2 linked regions of the Drosophila melanogaster genome follow. The gene in region 1 interacts genetically with each later gene. Each region holds a gene or a part of one and is shown in the gene's direction. Other genes may lie near its edges.

The links. Genes that interact genetically often act in the same process or in processes that back each other up.
Region 2: of Liprin-gamma (region 1) and Liprin-beta, changing one suppresses a phenotype caused by changing the other (phenotypic suppression), as found in Drosophila melanogaster (one study listed by BioGRID).

Annotation. Positions count from the first base shown.
Region 1 is NT_033778.4:22,349,529-22,358,189, reverse strand, and holds the start of Liprin-gamma (Liprin-gamma), read left to right. Parts: upstream 1-3,481; 5' UTR 3,482-3,802; intron 3,803-8,661.
Region 2 is NT_037436.4:13,511,705-13,518,840, forward strand, and holds Liprin-beta (Liprin-beta), read left to right. Parts: upstream 1-1,549; 5' UTR 1,550-1,693; exon of another isoform or gene 1,694-1,777; 5' UTR 1,778-1,887; coding exon 1,888-2,088; intron 2,089-2,153; coding exon 2,154-3,097; intron 3,098-3,158; coding exon 3,159-4,056; 3' UTR 4,057-4,572; downstream 4,573-7,136. Other genes in the region: Vps36 (vacuolar protein sorting 36), read right to left, coding at 1-377, 436-1,161, 1,225-1,320; CG10710 (uncharacterized protein), read right to left, coding at 4,825-6,954.

The DNA of each region.
Region 1 (8,661 bases):
AAAGGATAAATGGAGAAACATTTGGCAGAAATGTGTCGTTGCCTTGGGGCAGGACCGTAATAAAAACGAAGGAATAAAACGAAATAAAAATATAAAAAATGCGCATACGCCGCATTGGCTTCGCCTGCCTTATAATAGACATTAATAATATATCGCCGTTTCCGCTCCAGACTCCTTCTCATCCGATTGCAGTGGCAAGTGCGATAAACCGTTTAGCAACATCCGGAAACGGAGAGAGAGAGAGAGCAGAGATAGAGCGCTATGGTCGAGTGTCGCGACTATTGGATACCCGTTAATCAGATGGAGAGGATAAAGATAAAAAAGAAGAAATGAAATGCCTTATCATTTCCATTAAATTGGTTTTAATAGTCAGATTTTTGCTATGTCATGCTTTTCAACAAATCGATCATACCCTTGTACTCAACGAGTAACGGGTATAAAAGAAGGAAATAGTGTAAAGCACAATCCTAGCGAAATTGCGAAATTGCTGCCCTGACCATCCACTCTCTATCTCTGGACATTTACATACTAATTCGATTCATTACTGTCCAGCCAGGGCTGGAATCTTAATTGAGGTAATCAATGCATCTGTAAGCTGATTTAGGTTGAGTGGTTTCTTTGGACCCCAATCGGCTTAAAATTCAATGCATTTTCAATTTGGCATATTCGCATCTGGCCATCCTTGAACTCTGATCGAATTCAATAACAAGAATTGTATAAGAAGTACACGCAAATATTTTGCAATGAGATATTTGCTCATATGCACACACAATGGCCGTGCAGCAACAAAGGCTTCAAAAAGTATTGGGAAAACTTTGGCGACGACTCCCACCCACAGCAGCCCACTGCCTCCACTTCTCCACTTTCCATCTGCTAACTTTTTGCAGTGCCATCTGCGGAAAAGTTTATTGCGATAAATGAAAATAGGAAGCGCACAACGAACAGTTACAACAAGATGTTGAAATAAGTTGTCAAGCCAACGCATCCGGCTGTTTTATGTATTTTCTACTCCCATTTTTTTCCTGCTTTCTGGGCGTGTATAGTTTTCCACTTGTCTGACTGCGGCGGCTGTCGGCGATAAGCGCAAGGCATTGATAAACATCCCCATTCTACGCGGCACCGCAACTCCATTTCTTTCGCAGCACTCCCGTCTCATGTCCTCCCCCCTTTTAGGTGGGGATGGAGTGGATGTCAGGCAGTGACAATGGCTATGCCGTCCCCACAATTGGTTGGCTTGACAAAACGCTGGCCGGGACTTGTAATACACCTCAAAAAAGTAAGGGTGTCCTGTAGTATGGAACATTATCTTTACACCAACATGTAGATGCATTCAAAATGTCTGGAATTTGCTATGATATGTTGAAAGCCCCCACGCTTAGATCTTGATATCATATTATAACGATGCCAGTAGAAATTTAGTTGCTCCTAATGCAATCTTAGATTCTTCTCTCACTGCATCTGGCTCAATTCTTAAGGTTGAGGTCGTCGTAGTTGATTTTCCGCAGCTCTGCAGGCGGCAGGTTGGAAAAGTGGGCAAGGGGAAATGGAAAAGCGGGTAAATGGAGGGTTGCTGGGGGCGGCGACTGTCAGTGGGACACTTGGCTGTCAATGGCAGTTGAGTTACGACAAAAGGGAAGAATTGCATGGCAGAGACGTTTCCTTCGGCTTCCATGGCTTGTGGAATTTTTCACGCGTCACCTGTGGCAGATAGTGCTGCTCCCGCCGCCTCTTCTCGGCGGGAAGTCTTCTGTCTTGACTTTGTCGAGGGAGTCGGAGTTTTGCCATATATCCTAGGCCTTTTCCGATGGAGGAGCCGAGTTGAATGAACTAGCACCGTAATCGATGCGCCTCCGTGTGTGCGTTTGTTCTGCCGCCATTGTTCGGGATATCAGATACACATATCCTGGCACCGATGGCGGCGTCTGCCAGGAGAGCCACAAAAAAGGCAGCAGGATGGGCTCAGCAGCCGCTTGACATTCATTTGATAACATTTTATTAGCATCAGATGATGGCGGTTATCTCATGGCTGCACTTCACATTTCCGCAGGCAGACAGATGGCAACCACAATGATTGTCAGTCAAAATAAAGACAAACAGTGGCCGTGTCCATGAGTTTGCGGATGCGAAGGGTTCGAAGGGTGGGAGGGGTATGGCAGGAGGATGTATATAGGATATATCGGACCGATTCAGTCAGGTGCAAAGCCCTCTACGTGGCTGCGGCTAGTCACGTCTGCCACTTGTGCTTATGAATGACACTACACTCTCTGGCACGGAGCGGTAAAGGGATTTATCCGGTTCAAGTCCTGTGAGCTCAGGATAATGCACTGCAATGGCTCTCATTCGGATTACTCCACCCTTACGCGTTGATATGGCAATCGATTCCGCTTTGAATTGCATAGTTGCGATGCGGGAAAATAGGTTTGTTTATCAAGCCAATCGAAAGGTAGTAATTGAAAGGATTGCAGAAGAGGCAAAAAAATAACACTTTAATATGAAACTCAGTTATGAATCAATGTTTCCAGTTAAATGTAACTGCAAAGCTGAATCAGAAAGCCACTTTTATCACAGCTGTCAGAATTGTTAAGCCCTTTCAAACTCAATTAAACCATTTAGACTTTAAATGAAAATGCCATTTTCGTTACAATCACATTGAGAGAACAATAATATCAATTTTCATAGATGAGGCGATGCGATTTCTTTGGCTGAAATATTTTGCACGTGTTCATTAAATCTTTTCACAATAATTTGAGCATTTGCTGTCGGGATCATATTATACATGTTCAGCTTTGAGTGCAATACTCACATACTTTCGATTCCTTTGTCAATTTTTGCCGCAAATGATAGTGTACAGTCAGATTGTTTTACAATTAGTAGGAAAGCATGCAGACTGCAGTTGTCGTTGGCAACCTCAAAGTGCGCAACATCCCCACATTTACCCACTTCATCCTCATTTATTGTTTTGAGGCTTTTCATATTTTGAAATAGTAACTCCCCGCCTGTCGCAAACAGTTGCAACCACTGACATTTTTGGTCTTGAGATATTTCATTAGAGTAAAATCGGGCTGTGTGGCCCAACCACACAGTCTGTAAATTGTTTCGTCCAAGTTAAATTGCGGGGAAAATGTATTGTGGCGTCCAAACAAAGTACAATTTATATTGCTGATTAATTGAAAACGGAGGTGGTGTCGTTGCGATTCAGAGCCAGAGCTTGACCTTCGTTTTTGGGAGCGGAGGAGCAACAAGGATTCGAAAGGATTCTTGCGGGACGTTCGGATGGAAAACGTAAACAAACACTTGTCCAAGGCAAGGCTAGGTCGGGTTTTCGAGAGATCCCTGGTGGCTATTTCTCCAGCGATTGCGAGCTTTCGCCAATGCGCATGGGCGCTCTTGTATCCTTTTTCCCATCTCGCTGTGCCTAAGCTTTCGTGACGTCACATGGACGCCGCCAAAACGGCACTCGGGCCAAATGCCAAGGACTCGAGCTCAGTGCCATTCGAGTGATTCGCCCAGTGAGACGTTCCAAGCGCCAGAATTGAATTATTCCCCACATATCCTTCGGTCTCGCTCTCGTTCTCTCTTTCTGTCCTGCTCTCTTCGCGGAGAGTGTGTGCTGGTGTGCGTGTGTGTTTCAATCAAAATCAACAAGAGCATAGCCGAAAAAACTTTCAACCAAAGCGTGTCTAACAAATTAGAAAGCCAGAAAAACCAAATAAAAAAAAAACGAAAATAAAAGAACCAACATTGACTTCAACTGTTGGCCACGTGGTATGTGGCCTTCTTGTTTTTTCAGTCAGAATCCGAGGTAAATTTTTCGAAAACAAACAGACAGACACAGCATCGCCGAAAACAAGAAAAACACTGCGGAGAACAATCGAATTTTTGGGGGGGAAAAACCACCGCCAGTAAAATTCGGTCAATATTTGTGCGAGTGTGCGTGGAGTAGGGAAATTTTTTGGAACTTGTGTGTCACTCTGTTTGTTGTTGTTTCTGTGCGCAAATATAAAGGAAAACCAGCGAACAGCCAAATAGGGAAAAATCTGTGTCAGTCGCGAATTACGCACTATCTCATTTGGGAATTTCGGGCCGCTTGGGTTTTGTGAATGAATAATCAAAGTGTTTGCACGCATTTTTAAACCGATTTGCGCCTGTGCAAATCTTTATTAATTTCCGAGTGGTGTTCTTACTAATGACAACATCAGTAATTGCTGCCAGACACGAAAATCATATTTACCTGCACAGAGAGAAAATGCAGAAACCATTTCGTAAACGAAATAGGCTTACTTCTGACATATATCAAAGGAGCTGTGACTGCACTTTTAGTAATAACTTTAACTTGGTAGTGGTATGTTTGGTGGTTTTGAGTTTTTCAAGAAATCAAAGCCATATGGGTCAAAAGTATGCCACCTGGCTGAATAAATCAAAAGGAACCGGCGGAGAACCGCGGGCGGTAAATGTTGCATATTACGTGAGTTTTTACCACGACCATACGTTACGCATACGCCATGTGGGCCCCCTCCGAAGGCAGCAAAGGCTACCAACAGTGCGTCGCGTAATAAATCGCACGACAATAACTCACGGCACCCAGGAAGGGGGTTGAAATGATGATGGGGATTTGGGACAATAGAAGGGGTAAGCAACCAGAATCGGGTCGGGCTGTGACCAGGAAAGTCGCAAACTGAAAGCTATTAAGCCGAAAGACTTAAAGACTTTTGCTACCCACCTCCGGGGACGGTCTACTCCAGCCCCCTCCCCCGCCACAATTTCCCCTCTCGCTTCAAGCCAAACCACGCACACACACACACACACACACACACACATCCGTTTCCTGTGACAAGGAGCAACAACGAAAACTCACTTAGCCATGCTGCCTCAGCCTCTGTGTTCGCCAGACTCACTTGACATGCTCTTAATACCAAATAAAAAACAAGAGCTCAAGGACGCTGAGAAAACACTCCGTTCCACTTTTGCACTGCGAGTAAGGCCAAAACCCCCAACGCCCCGGCCACGCCGTCATGTGTAAATTTTTAATGTTACCAAGACCCCCAAATGTAGGTTATCAAATTGTGTTCAAGTTGTCTTCGCCAAAAGCGCCGTAGAAAAAGTTTTAGCGCTCGCCGTTTCCCCGGTTGGAAAACATTTTAAATGATTTTGTTGTCGGCGGTTGGTTGTTTTTCGTTGTGTTTCCCTTTAGACGCCCCCTGCCAATTGGGTCAAGCATTTACATTTCACGCCTAGCGAAAAACTCAGTCAGAACTATGCTACTTCGTCACGCCCCCATCCTGCACGCCCCACTCACCACGCCCCACCACCATTCGCCGTGTTGTGCAAGCTCTCCAACGTTCGGTAGTGGTGCATCTATTTAGTCAAATTAAAAACACAAATTCAACTCTGCTCTGCCGGCTGCCACTAATTAATTGCAAACTAAATGAGTTTCTCGGCATAAAACTTTATCCACAGCAAAGCTGATTGCTGTCAGTTTTGCGGCCGAAGGAGGAGCAGCATTCTACTGGCGATGTAGATTGCAGCGAAATCGCTTGGCAAAGAACAGGGGCGGAGATTGGTTTATGTGGCTCCCCTTCTCCCCGAGAAGGAGCCCTGGCTCAAATTGTAATTTGTGCAGCTCCCACACATTCCATTCTCGCTCCATTGAAGTTTTCTGGCTGAGAAAGGGGGGCGAAACCATCGAGTCATACAGGAAATTAGGGCTAAAAGCAAGTGTAAAACGGTCAGCGCAGTGAAAACTTTCTAGCCCGAAAAGGGAAAAATATTGGAAAAAATTCTAACTTTCGAGTCGAAAGTTCACAAATATGTGAATGGAAATACTCAGCATTCTATTTAAACTGCATACGTTTAGACACCTATTTAAGTAACTTTATACGTTCATTTTTAATTCAACTAAAATTGCGTTTGAAGGGTTTTTAAAGGAGGTCAATGCAATTTCGCTCTCTGACATTCCCCTCAAGTGAATGGCTGGGTTTAGTCATCATGTTATGAGTCACACAGCAGGATATGTACGGTCAATGAAGTTAGCCTTTCGGAAATAAAGTGTTCGCTTGCAGGTAATCGAATTGAATGCTGGCTAGCAGACGGCATCCAGGCTCAGCCAGCTGAGCCAGCTCAGCGAGTCGAGTTGAGATGGGCAGGACCTTAATGATGGATGTCAGGACGGACAGGATGACCAGTCACTCACTCATTTGGCATTGAGGGCACTGAGCCATTAAATTCCCACTTGGCGTGTGCGGCGGATTGGATTTCGATGGCTGCTCGCGGCGTGAATCTGTTAATTCAACTTATTAATTTTCATTGAATTTCTCCGTTCGCCACTGTCACAGTCACTGTCACTGCCAATGTCAATTGTCACCGAGTTGTGGCGCCCTAGGGCGGGCATTGACATTATGGCACTTTGGGGTGTGCTCGTTGGTCTGTGGTTTGTGCAATCAAGTCGGTTCGAATGGTTTTGCTCAGCACAAAATACTGCATTAATTTGCATGCATTCTGTAGGCCGACATTCAATCGATATGCCAAAACTTATTGGCCATTTGTTCGGCCAATTCATTTAAATCTTTTCCATCTCAAGCCTTTGATTTATTTAGAGCCTGAGCTCCGGCTCATGGAATGATAAATTAATAAATGTGTGCATTGAATCAAAGGCAACGGCAATAAATTTCAAATATTTTACCTCCCATTTTAAGAACGAAAGCCACAGACGCACACACATGGATACTTGGAATCGCCCTTTCAAATGAGCCTGCCTCCGAGTGCTGTCACACTGGAAGAAGTGAAGAATTTAATAGCCAAGCTGCCACTTAAGAAAGCTCCTGGAGAAGATCTTCTTGATAATAGAACCATTAGACTTCTCCCAGATCAAGCATTGCAGTTCCTTGTCTTAATATTCAACAGCGTTCTTGATGTTGGCTACTTTCCGAAAGCTTGGAAATCGGCGAGCATAATTATGATCCATAAGACTGGAAAAACACCGACAGACGTTGACTCGTACAGGCCCATCAGCTTACTCCCATCTCTGGGTAAAATTATGGAGAGGCTGATCCTAAACAGGCTGCTCACATGCAAGGATGTTACCAAAGCGATTCCCAAATTTCAGTTTGGCTTCCGGTTGCAGCACGGTACTCCTGAGCAACTACATAGAGTAGTGAACTTTGCTCTGGAAGCTATGGAAAACAAGGAGTATGCAGTAGGTGCCTTTCTTGATATTCAACAGGCATTTGACAGAGTCTGGCACCCTGGGCTCCTGTACAAAGCGAAGAGGCTGTTCCCGCCGCAGCTATATTTGGTTGTTAAAAGTTTCCTGGAAGAACGCACATTCCACGTCTCTGTTGATGGGTACAAATCATCAATCAAGCCAATTGCAGCTGGAGTTCCTCAAGGAAGCGTTCTTGGCCCAACCCTATACTCAGTTTTTGCTTCGGACATGCCTACTCACACACCAGTCACAGAGGTAGACGAAGAAGATGTGCTCATAGCCACCTACGCTGACGATACTGCTGTGCTCACGAAAAGTAAAAGTATCCTGGCTGCCACTTCTGGTCTACAGGAATACCTGGATGCATTCCAGCAATGGGCTGAGAACTGGAATGTGCGCATCAACGCTGAGAAGTGTGCCAATGTGACGTTCGCCAACCGAACAGGTAGCTGTCCGGGTGTCAGTCTGAATGGGAGACTGATCAGACACCATCAGGCTTATAAATACCTTGGTATTACCCTCGATAGGAAGCTCACCTTCAGCAGGCACATCACAAATATTCAGCAAGCGTTCAGGACCAAGGTTGCTCGGATGTCTTGGCTCATTGCACCACGCAACAAACTGTCGCTTGGCTGCAAGGTCAATATTTACAAGTCCATATTGGCCCCCTGCCTGTTCTACGGCCTGCAGGTATACGGCATTGCTGCGAAGAGTCACCTTAATAAGATCCGGATCTTACAGGCGAAGACCTTAAGAAGAATTTCGGGGGCTCCTTGGTATATGAGAACAAGAGACATCGAACGCGACCTCAAGGTGCCCAAATTAGGAGACAAGCTCCAGAACATCGCCCAAAAATATATGGAAAGGCTTAATGTACACCCCAACAGCCTAGCAAGGAAGCTAGGAACTGCAGCTGTGGACAATGCTGACCCTCGGACTAGAGTCAAAAGAAGACTCAAGCGACACCACCCTCATGACCTCCCTAACCTGGTTTTGACCTAGAAAGTCTTAGTTTTAAAATTCATTAGAATAATCAAATAAATAATAATTACTATGTTATATCAACTATTATAATTCTCCCTATCATTTTTAGGATTAAAAATCTGTTAGTCTTAAGTAACCAAGACACATTGTAAAATAAAATAATTTAAGCAGATCAAATTAAGTTGCCGCATGGGTAACAGTGCGTTGATCAAATAATAAAAACATCATCGTAATCGTAAAAAAAAAAAAAAAAAAAACACACATGGGACCCCAATAAAAACCAATTTATGAAGCATGCTTCTCAGGGCAATTGCCTGCCCCCAAAACACACAGCCCAAGAGCTTAATTGAATGCGAAGGCAACTGCATAAGGAGCGTCACCGGCAGGCCACAAATCAAATAAGTTGGGCGAAAACAGGTCAAGTGCTCAGCCTGAACTTCAAGTTTGATGCTGGGAGCTGCTAACTGGGAGCAAGA
Region 2 (7,136 bases), on another chromosome or scaffold:
TAGTCCCGGCCTAGCAGAAGATTTGGATAGAACCGCAGTCCCTCTACGGACTCGTCGCGACACACCTTGCCCAAACGTTCGGCCACTAGCAATCGCTCCTTGGCCAGCAGGAGTGAAATTCCCAGCTGCTTGGCCAGTTCCTCCACAGCCAGAGACTCGGCAGCCTCCACCTTCTCCAATGTGTCAACGGCAATTAGGGCATCATCGTGGGACTCCAGTTGTAGCACTCTAGCGCCACTGGGAAAGCTGCGCAGGCGTATTGGACCACTAAGCTGCTCGCAGGCGTGCAGCAAGTCCTCAGGCGATAGCAGTTCCAGACCACGAGCGCGGTTTACACGACAGTAGACATCAGCCAAGGACATCATGCCACCTTGCTCCTAAGGGGTAATAAAGTAAGTGTCAATACAAAGTATAACTTTTTAATACAGTTCCTACCTCGATAGGATCCAGCAGCATTTCGCAAATCTGTCGGGCCAGGCTACTGAAGTAGGCAGAATTGCTGGTAAAGTTGTCCCGCGTGACGGGATCATCGATGCCCAGGCTCATGAGGTAGGATTTGAAACGCACCGTTTCATCGTCAGATATTTCTCCCTTCTGTTTGCGTATCTTGCTGCTTATTGTCTTGGACACTCCTACCATGTCCTTGGCCATGGCCATTAGAACACTGAGATCCTGAAAGGCAAGTGCTATGTTCTCATCCGTGGCCTTGGCTTTTGCCTCCAAATGCCGTTCGATGCCCCCAATTCCTGTCCTCTTCTGAATGCGGGCCAGCCTGTCGTTGGCAGGCTCCAAGGTTGGACTGCTGGCCACGCCATTGATGATGATCTCGCTGGTCAAGAGGATTTCCCAGACGCGGGCATTTAGAGTCTCCCGCAAGGCACTGTGGAACTCGACACTCAGGCCATTCTTGCCCGACAGTTTGATGTGGGTGGCGCGACTGGTGTCCAGTGGGCCGGGTCCTTTGTCCGACGTTGGAGGATGCAGATGCATGATTATGCGAGTCTTGCGGCCAAAGAAGTTAGAGGCAGTAGTCTCTTCGCTGACGGATATCACATAGCTGAGTGGCAGGCAAAGTGTTACGGCGGCCCGGGCAATCTCTCCAGGGCGACCCCAAAACAGTCGGTGTGTGGTGAGCACCACTTCGCCGTCTTCAAAGTCCGTCTGAAAGGATTTGAGTCTAATAAAGACCCGGTTTCGTATTGTGCGAATTCACTAGCTGCTCACCTTTTGGTCGCCATCGTATATTTTTACCCTGTTGTCGCGGCTGACGAAGGATTCATTGGGACTCAGACGGGCCTCCACATAAGCGAAGCGATTCATTTCAGATATTTGTTATTTTATCCTTAATATTTGTTTTGTTGTGGCTCTGGCTGGAGATGACACATCTTTCGTGACTCCACCGTTCCACCTGCTTATTAGTGATGGTATCTTTTTTGTACAGTAGATATCGGGTATGGAAAACCAAATATAGCTGTACACATCTAGATATATTGCATACTTTGTCCCCAAAAAATGTAATTAAAATGTGTTTAGGCATTTTTATACGTTACTTAAAATTAATTTTGTTTTAAAATTTGTTTTGTAGACTTTAGACCATCTAGCAAACTATCGGATGTTGCTCCTACACACAATTCTGCGTTCGCTGACTATCGATAAGTGGCTGGGCTGGTGTGCGAGAAGAAGAAGCAGAACGGTGCAGCAGCTTCTATTTTCGTGATAGTTTTCCCCAATTAGTGCTGAAATTAATAACCATAAATGCCATTTTCCCCTAAACCAGTGCAAAATGACGTGCCCTGCCTGACCTGCTTACATAACAATGCACTAGTCGCGCAATAAGCACACCACACATCGATCACCCGGGATTAGCGAGACTTTGATTTGGACTTCATGGCGACTGTGGCGGAGGGCAGCAAAATGCTCGAGGCAGCATTACAGCAAATGGACGGCCTTATATCGAGTACCGCGACACAGGCGGGATCCGTTTCTATATCCGGAGCAGGGTCTTCCCTGACACTCAGCGAACGCAACTTAATTTCGGCCACTAATGTTTTGTCAACAGCTAAGACTTTGGCTCTCGCCCTGCAACAGGTGAGTCACACTGACTATGATAAGGTCTAGAAACGGAGGGCTTACACTTACGCTTATCACTTTAGGTCGGACTGGCTGCTCCAGCACCGGATCCTGTCACGGCGGCCATTATCAGCGACTGGCTGGAGACGCACATACCTCGTCAGGATTCCGACGAGCGTATGCGTCGCCTGCAACGGGATAAGGAGGGCTTAGCCCTGCAGTATCAGATGCTGGCGGAACGAGTGTCAGAACAAGCGGACAAGATTATCGAGCTGGAGGGTCTGATAACGGAAAAGAGCCAGCAGTTGTGTACCAAGGAAGAGCAACTGCAACGACAGATGATTTCTAGTTCCGCCCTCGAGACGCAAAAGCTGGAGCTAATGAGTGCCTTAAGTGAACTAAAACTGCACCGTACTGCATTAGAGCAGGCTAACGATGGAGGTAGCGCCATTTCCGCCAATATTCCTTACGGCAGTTTGAGCAACATTAATCAGAAGGCCTTTATGGGATCGCCCAAGACACCGCCCTCTGCACTGCGGCACCAAATCAAACCGCAGTTCCACAGCCTGCCAAGATCGCATGGCAAGTTTGTGAACAACAATAACAATCGTGCCTTAGACGTCAATGCCAACAGCAGCGGCAAGCAGCGAAACGTGGCCTTTGCTTCGAACGAACACATTTTGATTGATGACAATCATCATCAAGCGGAGGATGCAATGACTTCCAGCTTTATGTCGCAGTTTACACCCTCACCAAAGCTGAGGGAAAGATCTGCCCGTGGCTTGCGCAACATACTTGGTAAGCTACGACGCAGCAACAGCAGCAACTGCGAGCTGACCGCCTTGGAGCAGGCAGAGCCCGAGTTTCGACGAGGAGGAGCCCGAGCTACGGCAGGCGGTCGAATTGAGTGGAGTGCTCAGACTCCGTTGTTCGGTGAGAATGAAAAACATTGGACAACCTGGGGAGCGCAGGAGGTGTGCAATTGGTTGGCATACATGGGTCTAGGCTGCTATGAGGACAATTGCCGGTAAGTTTTGTCATCAAAATCCAAGAAGAACCCAGTTACTAAATACAATTTCCGCCTACAGAAAGTGGTTGAATGCCAATCCATCAGTGTCGTTCTTCACCGCCTCGCCTGTCGACATCGAACGAGAGCTAAACCTAAAGATGCCACTTCATCGGAAAAAAATCTTGTTGGCCATCGACGACCTAACTGGGAAGGAGTTTGATGACCTGACACTGAAGGCATCCAGCTTGGATGTGACATGGGTTCTACGCTGGCTGGATGACATCGGCTTGCCACAGTATAAAGATTACTTTATGCAGGCCAAGATTGACGGTCGAATGCTGCATCGTCTCACCCTCGAGGACCTCTCCCAATTGCACGTCAGCTCTTGTTTGCACATAGCCTCCTTGCGAGCGGGAATCTTATGCATGCGCCGCTTATCGTGGAACGCGGAAGGTCTAATTCGACGCTCCATTAAAGTTGTCAGTGAAGATGAAGCCGCAGCCACTCCCGACAGAGACAATGTGGAGCTGTGGACAGCGCATCGCATTATGGGATGGCTGCAGACCATCGACCTGTCTGAATACACGCCCAATCTGCGTGGTGCTGGTGTCCACGGGGCTCTGATGCTTTATGAACCGCGTTTCAATGCTGACTTGCTTGCCGACCTGCTGTCGATACCACCGAGCAAGTCCCTGCTGCGTCGCCACCTGGCCATGCACTTTAAGGAGCTAGTCGGTCGGCCAGTGATCTTGAGTAAGCGAGATGCCGAATCGGCACCCGGGTACCAACCGCTAAGCATTACAGCTAAGCTGAAGCCGGTGAAACGCACACAGTTTTCGTTAAAGCGTCGCAAGAGCTCGAAGAGCCAGAGTGACGTAGACTGGACGGAGTACGTGTGTCCCATGAATGCCAGTGTGCCGGAGACATATCTAGCTGATACGGCTAAGGAGCATGAGAGCTCCATGAGTTCGAACTAAAGACGAAGTCGAAAGGAGCACAAATCGATTGAAAGCAAATATGTTTTTTAGTTGTAAGCCCAAAACCTGGCCAAGGATCCCCAAACTGAATGAACTGCCACCTGAACCAATTATGCAACCAAATCCACAAAATTGACAATATTAGTGAGAATTTATCTTATCAAGGCCACGCCCAAACTTCCAAACATCTTTCGAATGAATTCGAGTCAAAATTCTTTCGTCGACCTAAGCATACCAGCAAACATTTTGGAAATTTTTATATTATCTGTAACTAACATTTAGGCTAATCTGGAAACGGGATGTAATGACATCTTCTAAATAAGCATATAACGATGATAACAAGAAGTATTCGCAATGGCATTGAAACGACCTTGAGAGCGAGCATAACCCCTATAGACTTATCGCCCATTTTGGAGTTTATCTTTTGTACTAACACATAACTGTATTGACGGATATTTTGTAAAATACATACTACGATGCCTTTTACAACCAAACAATATACATTTGCATATGGTTAAACATTGAGTTTATTTGTTAACAATAACATTTTATTAGGCACTAAAAAAACTGATGAACGACTAGGAAGCGTGGCTGAGGATCATTGATCGCGTTGTTGGACAGCCCGCATGGACGGAATCGGCATGGGTTGCTGTTCTCCACCCTCAACTGGCAACCGCAACCGAAGCTGGGCCGGCCATTAGCTGATCTTAAACTTAAATCTTTGGCAGTGCTGTGTGTGGATGTTTCCTGAATGTCCTGGCCGCAGCTCTATGTCGTCTGGTTGGCGGTTTGGGTTTCCAGATTTGGCAGCCTATCCTCCCGCGAGGCATTTTGGTGCTTGGCCAGATCGCTCTCGGGTATGTGATCCTTCCAGTTGCGGAAAAGGTAGCGCGTGAACTTCTTTAGCTGTCTAAATTTGCAATAGGTAGCACCTTCGGCGGATTGAAGCTGCTGGGTTTGGATGAGAAAGCCTTTCTCTTTGAAGGTTTTCTCCAGCTTTTCGCGCTGCTTTGATCGCTTGGAGGATCTTCGCTTACGTTCGCTCTCTGATGAGGACTTACTTTGCGTGTGACCGGGACACACTGCTCCGGGCATGGGACTCTGGGAGCTGGAGCACTGGGAGGCTGGACTATGGGGCGCTACGGCGGCCACCAGATGGTTGCTGCTGGGCAGGAGCAGCGTTGAGGTGGGTGACTCCGGTGATATGTGCAGCAACTCTGGGCTGAGGTCTGTCGATGGAGCTGGAATATCCACGTAGAGCTTCTCCTGTGCCGGCTGCTGGTGTTGCTGCAACTGCTGCTGCTGATCCCGGGAGATGAACTCGTAGCCTCGCATGGTCTTGTCTCCTGTGCCGTTGTAATACCGGTAATTGCCCTCCGCGTCCACCGAGAGCATCTTTTTCTCCTGCAGCGTGGGCTTGGCACCACCGGTGAACTTAAACTTGCAGATGCTCACTTCGTTCGAGGGACTCGACGAATGCTCGGCGGGCATGGGCGGGATAAAGATTGCTGACCGCTTTCGTTTCCGCATGGCCAGGGGCGTGGTCTCATTGGCAAAGAATCCGCTTGGTATCGGAATCTTAAGAGATAGCTGGTTGTCCTTCTCGATGGTCTCCAAGGGCACAGGCAAACCTCCCAGGCTGCAGGACTCGACGAGCTGCTGATAGTACAGTCCAACTGGTTGGAGAAGCAACTTGGCTGCTGTCATAGGCTGTTCCTCCGTCCCTGCCAGCTCCAAGGTCAGAGGTTTTACCGTACTAAGTGGAGTGGTCCGATGCGAGGAGCTGCCGCAATCTGTCGTAGCTGTGGTCGTATTTGGTGTAGTTCGCGGCTTCTCACTGTCGCCGCTGGATATTGAGTAGCGATCGCCGCTCTGGTCACGCAGGCAGAGATTCAGCGGCTCCTCAGGTGGCACCGCAATCGTGGAGGTAGACGGCGGCGGAGCAGCACTGACCGGCATCGCGGGCACAGATGCCGGGACAATGGTGCCGTAGTTCTTGTAGATCAGGTGACAAATATCCGCCTTCTTGGGCTTCCGACCACGACGTGGCTTGTAGTTGTCCAGCGTAATCTCACCCATGTACGGCAGGTCTGCGTATTTTAGGGAGTTCCGCTTGGAGGCAGTTGTTACCTCGGAATTTTTTGTTGGTACCACGGACGTCGCTGCGATGGGTGAAGATCGCGAAGTTGGTGCTCCAACTCGAGGAGCGGCAGACTGCTTTTGTTGCTGGCGTTCGGCATTGCGCTGGATCTCGGCAATCTTCCGCAGCCAACTGCGTACATTCTCGTGAGCCTGACTCGGCGGAGGAGCTGGCGGTGGTAGCACTGGTCTTGGTTGCTGGCGACCCTGCGTGGCCTCGTAATGGGCGGCATACTCGGCGGGCAGAGCTTGGTGGTGAAAGCGAAGCTTCATGGCTCCCGCATCGCCTCGCTTACGTGATCGCTGTTGACCCTGGCTGTGCACTGGCCTAACTGTCTTTTGTGGTAGAGCAGTGTGTGGCTGCTCCTGCGCTGGCTGTCGGTTCGCCTTCCGGCTGCCCATCAGCAGATTGGCCTTCAGCTGCTGCTTGGTCAGTGGACTGCAGGTGCCATTGTGTGGGGTTTCGTGGCCGGCACTTTTGCGGGCCAGTAGCGTCTTGAAGGGATGGTCTTCGTCGTGGGCATCGTTGGTGGCGCCATGCGAGATCAATGGGTCGTCGGAGCCCTGCAGCAGCAGACGGGTGCTGTTCAGATCCAGACGGAGTTGTGGGTGCTCGGGCGTGGGCAGCCAGCACTCCAAGTCGGGATCGTGCTCCAGCTTTATGCTGGGTAGGAGCTGGTCCAGATTGTTGGTAGCCGGACCCAACTCTCCCTTGTCTGCGTTTCCGTTAAGATCGCAGATCCTAGTAAGTTCTTGCATGCTGATCTTGATTTCGGCTAAAAAAAAGTAAGAGAAAGATAGTTTTATTATTATTTATATAATCTTCCAATTTATATGCTTTTAAATTAATATAAAACTTTTCATATTTACATCACTTATTACAAAGACTTGTTTTCATACAGTTTCGAAATTCAAACTAGACAACACATTGCGTATACGAA